Styela clava: one gene and its partner. The main gene of each other region encodes a partner of the protein of the gene in region 2 in a complex. Links are inferred from orthologs where the notes say so. Each region holds a gene or a part of one and is shown on either strand. Other genes may lie near its edges. The genes, in order: glucose-induced degradation protein 4 homolog and armadillo repeat-containing protein 8-like.

Region 1 (7,337 bases), on a different chromosome or scaffold from region 2:
CCGGTGACAAAAATATTTGCTTTATTCATACCGGACGGTAACCAAGTAACGAAACCCCCTTACTTGGCTCGGCGGTGTGGCGCATCATGCCAAGCGTCGGGAATACGCTCGCCATCGCACCTCCGATTACCCTGGGTTCTGACCCTCTCAGGGGCTACTCATGCAAGAGAGGAATGTTAAGACTCCCAGCTGTGGCAGGTTCACGCGACCGCTGGTCGGTTACGGCTCCCTCATAACGTCTATGCATCCGAAAACAAATCGCAGGAACAGCCTGCAGCCTACGTCTAAACACGAGAATGCAAAAGTAAATCTCTCATAACAGTCTTCCAGTGCCATCGTATCTACCATGTGCGTATTTTCTGATCAACAAGCCGATTTTTCGATCTGATTTTCTGAAGAAGTTGCATAGCTAGTGTGATTATGGGTAAGGTTAGCCCAGCACTGGCTGAAGCATGCGTTTGGTTTTGCTCGATTTGCTCGCCACCTAAGTCTTGCCCCAATAGTATCTCTGAAAAATTTTAAATGGTAAGAAAAGGTCAAAATAAATCTGCATAGTACCTCCCAGCATGAACTTGTTTACAGATTCGGTTATGTTTCTAGCTTGAAAACTGATGTTAGGAAATCATCAGAATTGCAATGTCCTCTTCAATTTTATAACTTATCATTAGTACATAGACAAGTGAGAATTAATCAGCAGTAACGACACAATTTGTTGTCTCGAAACATCGCCTGAGAAGAGTGCATATTTTGTTGATGGATTATTTATGGTGAATACCAAAAAACTCCAGCACATGTATGATTGCTATACTATCCCGCTTGTGAGACTCGAAACCAATCCATTCAAGCAAACGACCGGTCTGTGGCGCAAAACCACAAACATTCCCAATTCCAGACCAGGGTATGTTAAAAAACAATCGTTCATCATCTCATCAAGTATATGGCTGTACATAATTCAGGAACATGCTTCAAGTTGAGAGACTGATACCTGATATCAACAAGATAATATAATTCATTACTGATTTGAATTTCACAATCGAACAAGGCACAGATGAATCATGAATGATAGATAAAAAAAAATGGTAAACTTGATTCAGATAGGTCAGAATTATCTCACTGAAGTCGTTCAATTTCCAGAAACCATTTATATGTTCAATTTGCGGTAATCACTGCATAAAAAATTGTCACATATACTTACAACAGTTATAAAAAAGCTATAATTTTTTTTACTCTATGGTGCATATGATATTAGTTGTTGAAAACTACAGTATTTTTGTAAATTACATTACAACTTACATTTCTGATGTTCTGTGATAGTAATATCCTTCAATAGAAGCAGTAGACTTTTGAAAACAAATATAATAAAATCCAGCAAATGATGCACCATTTATGTCCTGAATTTTATGATCAGGAACCAAAAAATGCTCCTGAAAATAAATTGGTAGCAAAAATAAAAATCATGCATAGCATATGGTCTACTTGAGTGGAGACGCTCAACACTAGATGTTCTAAACCGAATTGTCACAATGAGTTGTAAGAACAAGGCAATTCTAGCTTCAAAAAAGTAGCATTGTTCCCATTATATAATCACTTCTGTAGATATAAATCTCAGAAATGGTTACCAACAAAAATTAATGATGAAAGAAGAAAATTTTTTTTGTTATAAATATTCTAACGAAGAATTTCATAGATTAATTTCCCACACACTTCAAAACTACGGGAGGTATAATGCACACTGTTCAGAAATGTAAAATTATGAATATTGAATCTATTCAGACATAAATAGGTATACTAATTACCTTCCATCTCATGAAAATATAATCACTATCACAAAGTTCTTTATAATCAAAACCATCTGTGTTGAAACTCTTCTCGAACTGATTGAATGCTGTAAATTTTCCCTGTTTGAAAATACAAAAGATGAAATAACTATCTGCCGGAGATATTGCTTGGGAACAGAATATTTTGTATGTACTCTACAATACAATAAACAGTACATGTGTTATTGTACAATAAACATGTACAATAAACAGTGTGCTTTCTACAATTTTATCAGTCATAATTTAGTACCGTGAAAACTTGTGAAAATAAGAAAAAAAATCAATATCTTCTACAAAAGAATAATTCAAATTTTTTTTTATGATTCACATTATAGTTATAGAACTTATAGTTATAGAAAAGAAGAAGAAGAATATAAGAAGTTATAGAAAATCGTCCATATATCGATACATTTCAAATAACTATAAAATGTCATAAGAACAAACCCAATGTTTTTTGTCTACTTCCTCATCAGCTTCCCATTTTCTTGTCAAGAAAGGATATCGTTCACTGATTATTTCACCATCAAAAAATGTTGTCATAGTTGGGAAATCCTCCGTTAGTCCATCTATTTTTAAATAGCCGCAGAGATAGGAAGTATCCAAATCAACTTGCTATAATATATAAACAAAGAGCAAAGTTTAAAGCTTGTGATGACAGCTGTAGACAATTGTGACAATAAGAGACATGTATACTGTATTCGCAATTGGACTGCAGTAGGGATGCAAAAGTAAATGTAACTTGATGCAATAGGTATAGAACTAAGCGTTTGATTTTATATCAACTGCATTGTAAAAGAATTGCAATTAATTCAGTTATCAACCGAAAATATTTTGAGTTTAAAGAAAAAAGTTGCCCAGATGCTAGAAACATGTAAATCATTATGTTCATTAGTATACTTTAATGAAGGTATGTAAAAAGATCGAAGAACAGACGAAGAATAGGCTATTCAAAAACAACTTATTACATCAAAAAGTATCCACCTGCAAAGTAACTTCAACATCATAGCAACTTCCTTTACTCTTTTGATGTCCACGGAATTTTGAACCATTATAAAGCAAAGTTCTATGTATAACAGGTTGTATTGTATTGCATGGTGGAGGAGGATCTAATGTGTCCACCAAAGCACTCATTTTATAAATCTACCAATATATGGGATATCTAAAAATAACAAAAAAATTAAACTACCACAACAAAGTTGGCATAAAAGAAACTTATTTTAATCAAAGATTCTTTTATACAATACAATATCTTAATCGATTATATATTCTGAACCTCTTAACTTTGGAAGAAAGGTATTTGACAATGTGACACATGAAATGGTGAATGAGATTTTTAACCAATAAATAATTATTTTAATATCTGTTAGAAATGAAGATGCAAATTTCACGAAACTTAATACATATAAGCGAGTAATCAACAAAATCAGATCTTCAGCTTTTGCATAATTTCAAACAACCGAAAGCTACAAAATTGCTTGAAGTAGTCATTAAAGAGAAAAACAGAAAAAGTTTAAAGCACATCTGATTGAAAATACTAAAATTAACTGGTGTTGATAAAATGGATCAGATCTTTTTATCGGAACGTTTTGAATCAAATGTATATGTGATGAGATGTAAAACATAAAATAAGTTTAGACTAGACAATTTTCCAAGTTGTTAAATTCTTTTGTTGTAAATCTTCAGCATTTTTAATCAGGATTCATAAATTACCTGATTTCAACAACACTATAAAAATTGATATACAGTACAGCAAAATGACAAAAACTACTGAATGACCAAACATTTTTGTTTGTAGTTCCGAGAAGTTCTACTCAGGACTTATTTACATTTCATATTTTTTAAATTCCATTCCATCTGGTGCCTTGACATCAGTTTTTTCCTTCCTTATATCACCCCAATTCGTGCTGAGCACAGTTCCCCCAGATTCTGAAAAGGATTTATTCATTGCTTTTCTCAAGTTCTCATCGCCATCAGAATATATTTTTTTGAAGAAATTGTTCAAGGCTTCATCTCCTTCTGGTTTTTCATTTTCTTCCTCGGTTTTGATATCAGCAACAAGTTTATCCCAATCTCTTGTATAATGGGCTGAAGATGGATATTTATTTGCGTCGTCTATATTTGTTGATGCAGCTGGTGCTGGCATAGGTGCAGTAGGTGAGTTATCTTCACCATGCAGCAAGCTCCACCTTATTCCTTCTGCTTTCATTAATTTGCATTCAATTTTCGTGGACATTATGCGCGATGTACATTTATCTGGTAATATTTTGTGCGATAGTGACAGATTTAAAACAAAGCTTTCCCCAGTGTCACGTTGAATTTTGACTGACAGCGATTGTTCACCATATTTTGTTGAGAATTCTTCTTGTTTGACTCTTTTTACCATAATTGTTACTACAACGTAAGTGTCGGTCTGGTACCAATCATATTTCGGAGTAAGTGTTGACGTGTTTGTGGAAGATTCTCCGTTTAACTCCATAGTATTGCTCCTAATGCACCAAAATTTCGCAAAATACAACCATAAACCCCTTTGACAAGACGACCGCTCTCAACGCACGGAGTAAGATTACTGGAATATTCCTCAACGGGCAAACCGTTCTTCGTGCACCTTTGTCGCCATTCAGTGTATAAATCCCGAGATAGCTTGAAATTATACTGAGACATATCTGAAAGTGGTGAGGCATATTGACTTGTATTTTCTTGTAAGCATGAGTCATTGATAATTAAAAAGTTATGTATTTTATTTTCCTTGACCGTAGACAAAGGCTGTTGAAAAGCACAAACATATATTTTAGGTTCCTGTTTCGGGGGGAGTGGTGGAGGTGTGTTCCCGTTTGTTTTGGTTTTTATGATTTGCACTCTGCAAAGTTTCCTTATAATTCTCCTATTTTTACTTATCTGTACCGATATGCCGCAGTATAGTATTGTTTTGGTCGTCAGTGGCCTGAGTGTTAATTGCAATGAATTCCATAATCTAATTACCGATATGTAATTATTTATGCTTCTTGCATTACAGCATTGTAAAATAAATTGTCTATACTTATCGCTTTTTACCAAGCAGTATCGGTATTTTATTTTCTCACTTGTACAGGTTACTAGTAATGCATGCCAATTAACTGAAATTTCAGAATATTTTGATTGAAGACGGAAGAAATACCTGTAACTACAGAACTAAAAATGTGGCAAAAGATTTCGTTAAAAACTTACATGGCAGCAACAGTGGTGAGTAGCTTACACAATGTTATCAATAAAATCTTGCACTTTTTTCAGAAGTATCTTCATTATACACCAATATAGAATTTATTACTACTAATTCAGTTGTTTTACAAGGTTTGAATGTCCCAAGATCTTACTTGAAAATAACGCCTAAATACCATGACAAAAAAGACTGATTACACCATCACCATACTTCCATATAATCAAGATGTCTCATTGTCTTTTTTATCCCCTGGGATAAATATGAAAATCTTTTCCTCTCAACCTACCAACATTTGATTACTCTTTCACAGTATTTGTAAAATTGTTAACAGCAACAATTTTATTTTTAGGGTGTTTCAAAATCATTCTCAAGCATAGCGCAGCCTTCAAAACAAATGTTTGAAGCTTTTGAAAAAATTGTTGGATCCAAAAATATAAGTAAAGCTCCATCTACTTTGGAACAACATTCCCATGATGAATCGTATCACAGGTGAAATTATTTATTGACTATTTCTGTGATCGAAATACTCCAATTGGTAACTGAAAAAAGAATAAATCTCCCCCCCCCAAAAAAAAAAAAGTAAACACAATATGGGAAAATATAACATGACTCTCTATGGTGTATGTAAGAATTTCTCAATCATTCGCTTGAAAAGTAACTTGATCAAATTGCATAATAGTTCTAGATTATTTGCCCGCTTGGGTCTTGGATCCTTTTATTTTTCAGAACATTTTTTCGAGATTAGTGGACAAAACCCCTTGATTGTTGTGCTTGATTTTAACAAAATGTGTAAGGAAGTTTTTTTCTTGTCGAGATAAGTTTGTTTATATTATTTTATTGAATACTTGTTCTTAATATTGAAAATAATTTTTTTCTCACTATGTTTTTTCTTGCTCGTTTTTTCTCGCTTTTCAACATATCTCATTGTATTCATTTTAATAGGAGAAAACTGCCTGATATTGTTGTATGGCCTGCAAATGCCAACCAAGTCAGCGATCTCGCAAGATTTTGCACTGCTGAACGAATACCAATGATTCCATATGGTACTGGAACTGGACTTGAGGGTGGAGTGGCACCAACTTCTGTGAGATGAATTGTGATTAAAATTTTAATATCAGATTTATGAATTAAGCAGCAGTAATTTTTCTGGATTTATTTTTTGTTAATAAACTAAATATTCATTACTTGTTAGAAATGGCCTGCGCTTCAAATATTTTTTATGTGTAAAAAATGATGGCCTCATACTTTTTTAGGGTGGCGTTTGTGTCAACTTGATGAAAATGGATGAAATAATTGATGTCAACATTGAGGATTTTGATGTGACAGTCCAACCTGGTGTGACACGCCTGGGCCTCAATCAGTATGTTTCTTAGATTTTTATCACAAGGTTTTTATCACATCTTCACTCTAAACAAGGCCATAGACAAGCAGGTATATTTAGGGACTATTTGGAAAGACTGAAATTTTTCCAGTTCATCATATTCCCCACCTAACAATTTAAATATACCGTTAGATAGAGGGCATTGGGTTGGAACCCAAAAAGCTTTAAAATGCTTTTTCTTTATTGAATTTTCAATAGGTAATGTTAAGGTGCTATTTATGTCGTTTTATTTTATTTTCAGGCGTCTTCGAGACAGTGGAATGTGGTTTCCAGTGGATCCAGGGGCAGATGCTTCTCTATGTGGGATGGCTGCAACCAGTGCATCAGGCACTAATGCTGTGAGGTATGTTAATATATGAAATGAATATAACATAATAGGATAAATAGCCTTAAGATGGACAAGATGTCCCCATTAGGCATAACTATATTGGTATCGCAGTCTCACTGGCCACGGTGCAATAAATTAGGTAGCCTAGGCAGAATTAGAAAGATCTGGTCTTTTGAAAATAGAAACTTTTCCATAATAGTGCCTACTGCCTAGTAGAGGGAATGTGTTCAGGTACCCATGAAAAGATATTAATCGACAAATAATACACCACTTTCATACTTCAGATATGGAACAATGAAAGAAAATATACTAAATTTACAAGTTGTTTTACCTGATGGGAAAATTATTCATACTGCTGGTGAGAGAAGAAGATTCAAGTAATTGTTTTGTCTTGAATTCAGTGATTTTTTAAAAAATTAAAATGAAGATTGGTATGCACCACATATACATTTTCAGAAAAAGTGCAGCTGGATACAATCTGACAAATCTTTTTGTTGGATCAGAGGGAACACTGGGTTTTATAACTTCAGCAACACTGAGATTACATCCTGTACCTGATTCTGTGAGAATTACCTTTATGATTGGTTTAGCCCCCATTGTTTACTGGTTATATAG
Region 2 (7,841 bases):
ACCCTGACAAAGAAGTTGCTGGATGGGGGGAAAATGACAGGGGTGTTTCATTCACTTTTGGTGCGGAGGTTGTCGCGAAGTTTCTTCACAAACAGGATCTTGATTTGATTTGTCGAGCTCATCAAGTTGTGGAAGATGGTTACGAGTTCTTTGCAAAAAGGCAACTTGTCACATTATTCAGTGCTCCCAACTACTGTGGAGAATTTGATAATGCAGGTGCAATGATGAGTGTCGACGAAACTTTGATGTGTTCGTTCCAAATCCTCAAACCAGCTGATAAGAAAAAGTTCCCTTATGGAGGCATCAATTCAGGACGACCTGTAACACCACCGAGAGCTTCAGCAGGAAAAGGAAAAGGAGGAAAAGCAGGAAAATAATGTGCTACCTAAACCAAATTTTTTTTTTGTATAATATTATCGATTTCTCCGTTTTTAGTAATGCACAGACTATGTTACCATCATCGAGCTGATTTGGACTTCTGTTACCACTGTCGGCCACAAATGATCAACGGGACTCAATTGGATATAAGACAGTGACTCGTTGGTCAAATAAACTGACAGCTCTGTCTTTGTGTTAACTGTTCATCAAGCAGATACACAAAGTTCACTTCTAAAGCTATTCGAATTGGCACACTCATCTGTACAGAATTGCTGTTCAAGGTGTCAATAATGAGTGGTTTACTTTGTTTCATTTTTTGTACTAGTTTGTTTCAGATCACTTTTTTGTTCCCTTCTTCCTAGCAGCTTAGTCTTTGCACTGTCTGGCATTGAGTTAATTGATAAGTCCAAATTACAATCTTCCATACATTTGGTAGCAATTGTACACGTTTGTAAAATGGAATGCCAATACTATTCAAAAACAGAACTTGTAGACCAATTATGCATATGCTCGTGAGACCTAACCATTCGGCAAATTTTACGAATAAAAAGGTTTCAAACTATATCAAGATGAAAATATCTTCATGATTCTGACGTAGATCTCAGAAATGATTTTTTAACTCGATTTCATCATAATGTATTCAACGTCAGTTACTAAAATATTTATAGGAATATATTAAAATCTGTATCCATTTTCCTTTTGATCCTCTTTGCCCTTTTTAAGCAAATGCAGCCATTATGGTTTTATTTTATGTTCATATCCCTGGCATCTAATTTTTAGGCAGTTCAGTTGAATTCTATTTGAATTTTCAAGTATCGTAATTACATAATTATCTTTCGAAATTGAATATCCATCAATATTACTTACTAAAAAGTGGTAAATTTATCTGTTGATCAATTTTCACTTATTTCAGCATCTACAAACTATAGTTGTCATCATTTCTGTTATTTGTTGACTCGTTTTTGAAATATTGTCGAAATGTACAGCCCTTTAGTCTAGTAAAAAAATGGTATTTCATGACACATTGACTCAATATTGTCATTACTGTTTCCACCTTTCATAACATGGCAAATTTTTTAAATCAAAGTTGATTTTCCCTCTTAATTGGCGTGTTTTGATCTTTCTGGTAGACCCGAAGACTTTATACATAATTCATGGAACCTACAGCAGACATGATCGTATTTTATGCAATTTGTTTCTGGGATTGTATCAAAATTAACGATTCCGAGAATTGTAAAATTGAATGTTCAAACAGATTATCAAGTTAACATGTTTTTATCAAGTTGTTGGAGTTAATCTATTGAATGAATTATTCTATATTGATGCATGGAAAGAGGTAACGAGATAGGATGTGTATTATATGTGATATATTTTATAGCACATTTCTTTATGTGACATGTGTTTAATTGACTGTTAATTGCTCCTATCATCGCTTCATCATCATTCATATACTGTCTTTTATGGGGATCTAGTTATGTGCTGTTGATCCATGCCGCTGGCCAGAAATTGACTACAGTTTGGCATATGTAATTATACTAACACATAAATTATCTATCAAAGTTTTTCAGTGATTTGATTAGTGATGTTCCAAAAAGTTTTTATTTGAATGATTTGGCGCTGAAATTAATATACTATTCATTACAGTAAAAAATGATTATTTATCGATGAATTAAAGTCATTAGTGGTTATTTTCTGGCTGGTGCACACTTGATTCAACTGCGTCATCGTACGTAGTTTATAGCGAGCTTGGTTTGATCTTCTTACGCATTGTTAAAGTGCTTTTATTTAATTTGGCCAGTCATTGTTGTTGCATTTTAATTTCTCTCACAAGTTAAAAGATTCAAAACTTTACATATCCCGTTGGGAAATCAGGTATCAAATCATATCCATTAAAGCATGAAAATTTTTGGATAATAATATGAAAAAAAATGAAATTAAAACTTTTGAAAAATAAAATATTTTTGGGGCGCTCCCAGTGAAATTTTATATTTAAAATGATATATCTAAAATTAAAATGAATTTTTGCACATCAACATCCTTTTAATACAATACTCATTCTGTAATTGATATTGTAATCTAGTAAATGATACATGCTTTGTTGAATATGATTTGATATCTAATTTCTTTATAGGATAGCAGTACCCATGATTTGTCTTGTTCATTAAACTTCATTGTATTTGTGTATTATTTAGATTTTATCTATGTTAATAAGGTCGTAATAGCAGCAATAATGGAGTAATGATGGATTAGTTGGAAAAAGGAAAAATACTTACGAACAATGGAGATTTAATGAATCTCAATCTGCGGAAATATAAAAGTAGCGAGTCTGATTGCAAAAACGAATATTGAGGAATACGAAGCTAAGATGGCTGGTGGGGGAGACTTATCAAGATTTGAGAAGGTGACGAGAAAATTTGAGTACCTTGATCACACTGCAGATGTACAAATTCACTCATGGGGAGAGGATTTGTCAGAGGCTTTTGAACAAGCTGCGATGGGAATGTTCAACTACATGACGGACATCGATGGTGTTTGTCCAGAATCACACAGAGAAATAGAAGTCGAAGGAGAGGATTTAGAATCACTTTTGTACAAGTTTTTAGACGAATTCTTATTTATGATGTCTTGTGTACCGTATTATATTCCCAGGGAAGTAAAAATAACGGAGTTTGACGAGAAAGAATTTAAAATAAAAGCTGTCGGATATGGAGAGGAATTCGACGAAAAAAGACATGGCGGACAAGGTACTGAAATCAAAGCAATTACATACAGTGCAATGGAGATCTTAACAACACCCGGCTCTGCTCAAACCTTTGTTATTGTTGATATATAGTTTTTTGAAAGAAGAATTGTTTAGCTGTTATACTTGATTTATGAGATATATTAGCAATTCTCAACCTTTTTTTAGAACTGCGGAACCCCTTTTATAACTTTTGAAACCATACTGGGGATTGGAATATCATTACTCTTCCTTTACTTTTATGTGAATCACTCTTCAAAATTAGTTAAATTTGTCCGTTTTCAAAACATAAAATAATTCTATACAAATGTTTGTTTGGTCAGTCTACCTCATTCACAATTTTTTTTCGTTTGTTAAAAAATTGAAAATCACAAAAAATTATGATTTTAATAATACACAATTTGATACATAATTTTGTGCATGCGTGATCATTCGCTTTCTCCTTTCTTACTATTGAGCTGACTAGGTGGTGGCAATACCTACAAAAAATCAATGAAAAATTGGGTACCACTGTATTTAACTATCCTTCTCCCATGTATTACTTTAATTGTTTGGATCAATACATTCAAGGTTGAGCGCTCAATTACCATATGCCCTTTCATTCCCCGGAGATACCAATCAGACAATCTTGACTAAATAGGTTCTAATGAGTAGTGTATCAGTTCAATATCTTTGGCCTATAATACTTTTTCCTCGTGCAAAAGTTACAAGGAAAAATAGAATCCCATAATTGGTTATGGATTCTTCTTGTTAAAAAAAACAAATTCTATACTATGCAAATTAGTGATCAATACGAACATGATTTGAAACTGTAACCTTCAGCTAAATTCCAAAATTAGAATTGTACTTGAATATCTGCCAGCTATGACGTCCATGGTCATATCAAGTTGCATCAATAGTACGTGTGTCTATTATAAACACAAGAACTGACATAACTCTCTTGTGTAAGTTCATGGTACCTGGCAATAGCATGGAAATATTTTTAGTACTGTTGACGTCAAGCTCTTGAATGTAATTATCAACATACATTGTGTCATAGCCTGGAATATAATTTATTAGTTCATTTTTATTTATGAATAAATTTTTTATGACATGACTATGTGGTATAAGATTTGGGTAAATTTGTACATATTTCCAACTTTAATTGTATTGCAATAGTGTCAACAATGGTCCAAGAAGATCTACGTTTATTGTGTTGAAGCGTCTGCCCCGAACCTTGATGTACTTTTAAAACTATTGTCTGTTATTTTGACCCTTTTTAAAATTACTTCTATCAAGTTTTAAGATATTGATGAAGTTTTTTTTTATACGACTTAGTGCACATCTTTATTCATGCCTTTTATTCTCTCATTGTATTTGATGTTCATAGATTGTATGAAATGTGAACTAATTTTTTGTGATTTTTATTTCAATGGCGACAGGCGAAGGAAGCAGTTGTTAGATAAGTTGATTATTTTGAAAAATGAGCATGGAAGTTGACCAACATGACATGAGCGAGGTTTTCCCGGTTGCGGTTCAAGGTGTGCTCTCCGAGATAACAACAATGTATCAGCCCTACGTTGGAAAAATATTTGATACTGATGAGAGTATAGTATTTGAAGGCATAAAAGAAATCAAAAACTTAGTTATTGGAAACAAAAAGCAAAAAACGAATTTTATTGTACTAGGAGTCGTTCCCAGATTGGTCTTCTTAATTGAGGACAGTAACACTTCGATGGAATTGAAAATACAATCTGCAATTGTACTTGGCAGTCTTGCAAAAGGAGTTGATGCAAATTTAAAGCATTTATTAGATCACCGTGTTTTGGAAACTCTATGTAGCCATCTTACTACAAACGATTTGCAATTGTACGAAGCCACTGTTAGATGTTTACGGACTATCATAACTTCTACTGAAAGAACTACTGAATTGTTATACATCAACCCTTCTGAAATAATTCCAAAATTGTTAGAAAATATCAATCGTTCCAGTTGTACACAAGAATGTACATGCGAGATTATTGCTCATTCTTGTATTGCACAAAACCATAAAGATCTTTTGATCAAACTTGATATTATAAATTTACTTGGTGATTTATTGGTTTCACCCATTCGAAGGGTTAAGGTGAAGGCCTTGGATACGCTAGCTGCTCTATGTTACAAAAACAAAGAAGCCTGTAAGCAATGTGCCATGTCAAAAATAAAGGACAAACCTCTTATGGAAATTGTGATAAGACTACTTAATGAAAGTCAACCTGCGGATATTCAAATGCGTGCTGCAAAATGTCTGACTTTCATGTTTCGAATGCGGGTTTTAACTGCAGATTCATGGGATCATGTTATTGTCAGAAAAGTGCTGACACGTTTGGTTAGAATGTGTGATATGGAATCGGACCCTGATCAGCGCATTTGCAGTGCCGAAACTCTTGCGTATTTGATCGAAGTTGATCCACCTTTGCAAAGACTTGCTTATATCTGTGAACAGTTTCCTCACAAATTAGAAGCTTATTTTAAATATCCTTCAGTAAGCTTAACAAAGAACGAACACAATATAAAATTCTTCAAGCACGCTTTAAAACATGGAAAACAGTTACACAGAGCAGGATTTTTAGCGTACGCCTCACTTCTTTCAAATGACGAAGATATCCGAAAACAAGTTGCCACAGAGCTGCTGGTAAAACACATTTCAGAATCTCTAATCGATCCTTGTGCATTAGTTCGCTCGGCTGCATTAAAATGCCTTTTAAGTTTATCTCGCTCCGTACATCTACTTCGTACAACTTTTCAGGACGTAGGTATTTGGAAATCATTATTAAAATTGATGCAGGACTTTGCACAAGATATTAATGAAACAAAGATCATCAGCAGTGTATTGTGCAACCTAATGCTTGACATTTCACCCTGCAAAATGGACTTGAAAGCAGCTGGATTGATAAAAACCATAACTGAATGGTTAAATGTGGAGGATTTAAGACTGAACGCTATTTGGATCTTTATGAATATGTCGTTCCATGCTGAATTAGCATTAAAATTAGAGATACTTGAAGCGATCAGCTTTGAACAGATATTGCAATTGTTACAAGACAGTGATCGTGATGTTATTATACGTACTTTGGGACTCCTGCGTAACATACTCAGCTCGGATCAAGATAAAATAATGCCATTATATGGCGTAAATATCATACAAGCTTGTAAACACGTTTTAACTGCATTCTCTGATGCTGGAACTGGCCATCCTGGCTTACATTCAGAGTACGAGTGCATACGTGCCCATATAGTGTGCATACTCGCAGGTGTGGCGGGTGGGGATGGAGGGTCAACAGTAAAGACCTTTCTCGAGAATGAAACGGAACTTTTGCAGCAAGTTGTTAGCTATTTGATGCATTTTGACCTTAATCTGCAAATGGCTTCAGTATCATTTATATACAATTTTGTTAGAATGAATACAGGCTGTGTGGAACGTCAGGCCGTAATGATAGAGTTGGGAGCAGTGAACAGCTTACAACATCTACAAACCACTAACGATACTGTTCTTTATGATAAAGTGGATAAAGTACTTCAGCAGTTTCAGAATACAAAATAATTTTTGGTAACAAATGTACTGTTTCTTTTATTATAAATCAACTGATTGACCAGAGTCTTGACAATCAGCTATTGATATATAGAAGGCTTATAAGTTTTTGAAGTACCGGTAACTTAACTGCAATCTTTTTGAAAACAGCCTATGACATGGTTTGAGTTCAACAGACTAGTCCCTTGACGGCTGGTCATTGACGTTTGAACAAAAAATTTTTATGCACGAATGAAAGTTTCAAACCTTTTTGATATATTTTTTCTTACTTTGGAATTGTTGTTCTTTCATTATAACAAAATAGAAATGGCACACAAGTTTCTGGTATTCAAGTTCATGACAGTACAGTTTGTTACTTAGTACACAAAACTAGTTCTTGACAAGGCAAATAGCTTCGATAAAATGAAGTATACCATTATTTATATATACCAAATTATCGATATCTATTTCCCTATAATCATACCTAGATGGAAAATTTAAGTATATTTATCTTTTATTATAATATTAAATCTCTAAAAGTACTAAAGCAGTGGTGTCGCTTATGTCATTCCATTGACTAGGTATAAGGTTTATTCAATGGAAGAAGTTTTTCATTGATAATCATCCTTGCTTCGGTTATTTATTATCTGGTGGTAAACTCAGCACATACATGGTAAGTCCTTGTGGTATTCACAGAGTGAGTTTTATTTCTAGAATGCGTAATACTTTTCGCTTGGTAATTCCCTCCAATTATAATGTGCTGTATTCACAGGGCTGATGCAATCATCTGTTATTAAGGTGAACTAACAAAGGATATACTCTAATACCAGGAAGTTTAGTCAAATAAGATTGCAAGAATGATTATTGATTTGCGGTGAGACAGGTTCATACAGATTCCAATAACATGTCTAAGTAGATTTGTGTGACATTATTGATTTTTTGTGGTTTGCTTTCCCAGATTAAACTGTGAGCAAGGCAAGAAAATTTTTTTGTGTAGGTTGTGTGCATTCTATATTTTCAACTCTGCATGTAAAGCAAGGAGATTATGACTGTATTAGAGTGATGATACGCTCAATATAACCCTAAAATACATTTCCTTTGTCTGAAATATCCGAATTTGGCATATTTCTACTGGCCAAGGTGGTTAGTGTTGAAACTAAGTACTTACTACACATGCATTGTCAGTGTAGCTTG

The links.
Region 1: the proteins of armadillo repeat-containing protein 8-like (region 2) and glucose-induced degradation protein 4 homolog are in contact, whole or in part, in a cryo-EM structure (PDB 7NSC), measured with the Homo sapiens proteins. The link is inferred for Styela clava from reciprocal best matches to the Homo sapiens genes ARMC8 and GID4. Residues at the interface, in NP_001350870.1 of Homo sapiens: Glu309, Pro310, Asp311, Val312, Asn371, Glu373, Arg406, His409, Arg413, Ser414, Val415, Gln416, Arg419, Thr420, Gln423, Asp424, Val444, Ser448, Cys451, Asn452, Leu455, Phe457, Ala483, Val486, Asn487, Trp490, Met493, Asn494, Phe497, Gln498; in NP_076957.3 of Homo sapiens: Leu104, Ile105, Pro106, Pro107, Pro108, Pro109, Ile110, Gln114, Pro115, Gly116, Val117, Ala118, Thr119, Gly125, Gln146, His147, Tyr154, Cys156, Tyr158, Phe174, Glu176, Phe239, Val241, Pro242, His244, His292, Ser293, Ala294, Pro295, Ile296.

Annotation. Positions count from the first base shown.
Region 1 is NC_135253.1:16,878,554-16,885,890, forward strand, and holds glucose-induced degradation protein 4 homolog, read right to left. Parts: upstream 2,958-7,337; 5' UTR 2,949-2,957; coding exon 2,799-2,948; intron 2,430-2,798; coding exon 2,262-2,429; intron 1,899-2,261; coding exon 1,797-1,898; intron 1,425-1,796; coding exon 1,294-1,424; intron 986-1,293; coding exon 922-985; 3' UTR 632-921; downstream 1-631. Other genes in the region: protein SGT1 homolog, read right to left, coding at 3,640-4,293; putative D-lactate dehydrogenase, mitochondrial, read left to right, coding at 4,992-5,036, 5,363-5,502, 5,956-6,097, 6,267-6,373, 6,636-6,737, 7,007-7,099, 7,179-7,284.
Region 2 is NC_135258.1:9,308,193-9,316,033, forward strand, and holds armadillo repeat-containing protein 8-like, read left to right. Parts: upstream 1-4,580; coding exon 4,581-6,680; 3' UTR 6,681-7,152; downstream 7,153-7,841. Other genes in the region: serine/threonine-protein phosphatase PP1-gamma catalytic subunit B, read left to right, coding at 1-377; protein archease-like, read left to right, coding at 2,744-3,211. UniProt on the Homo sapiens protein: Component of the CTLH E3 ubiquitin-protein ligase complex that selectively accepts ubiquitin from UBE2H and mediates ubiquitination and subsequent proteasomal degradation of the transcription factor HBP1.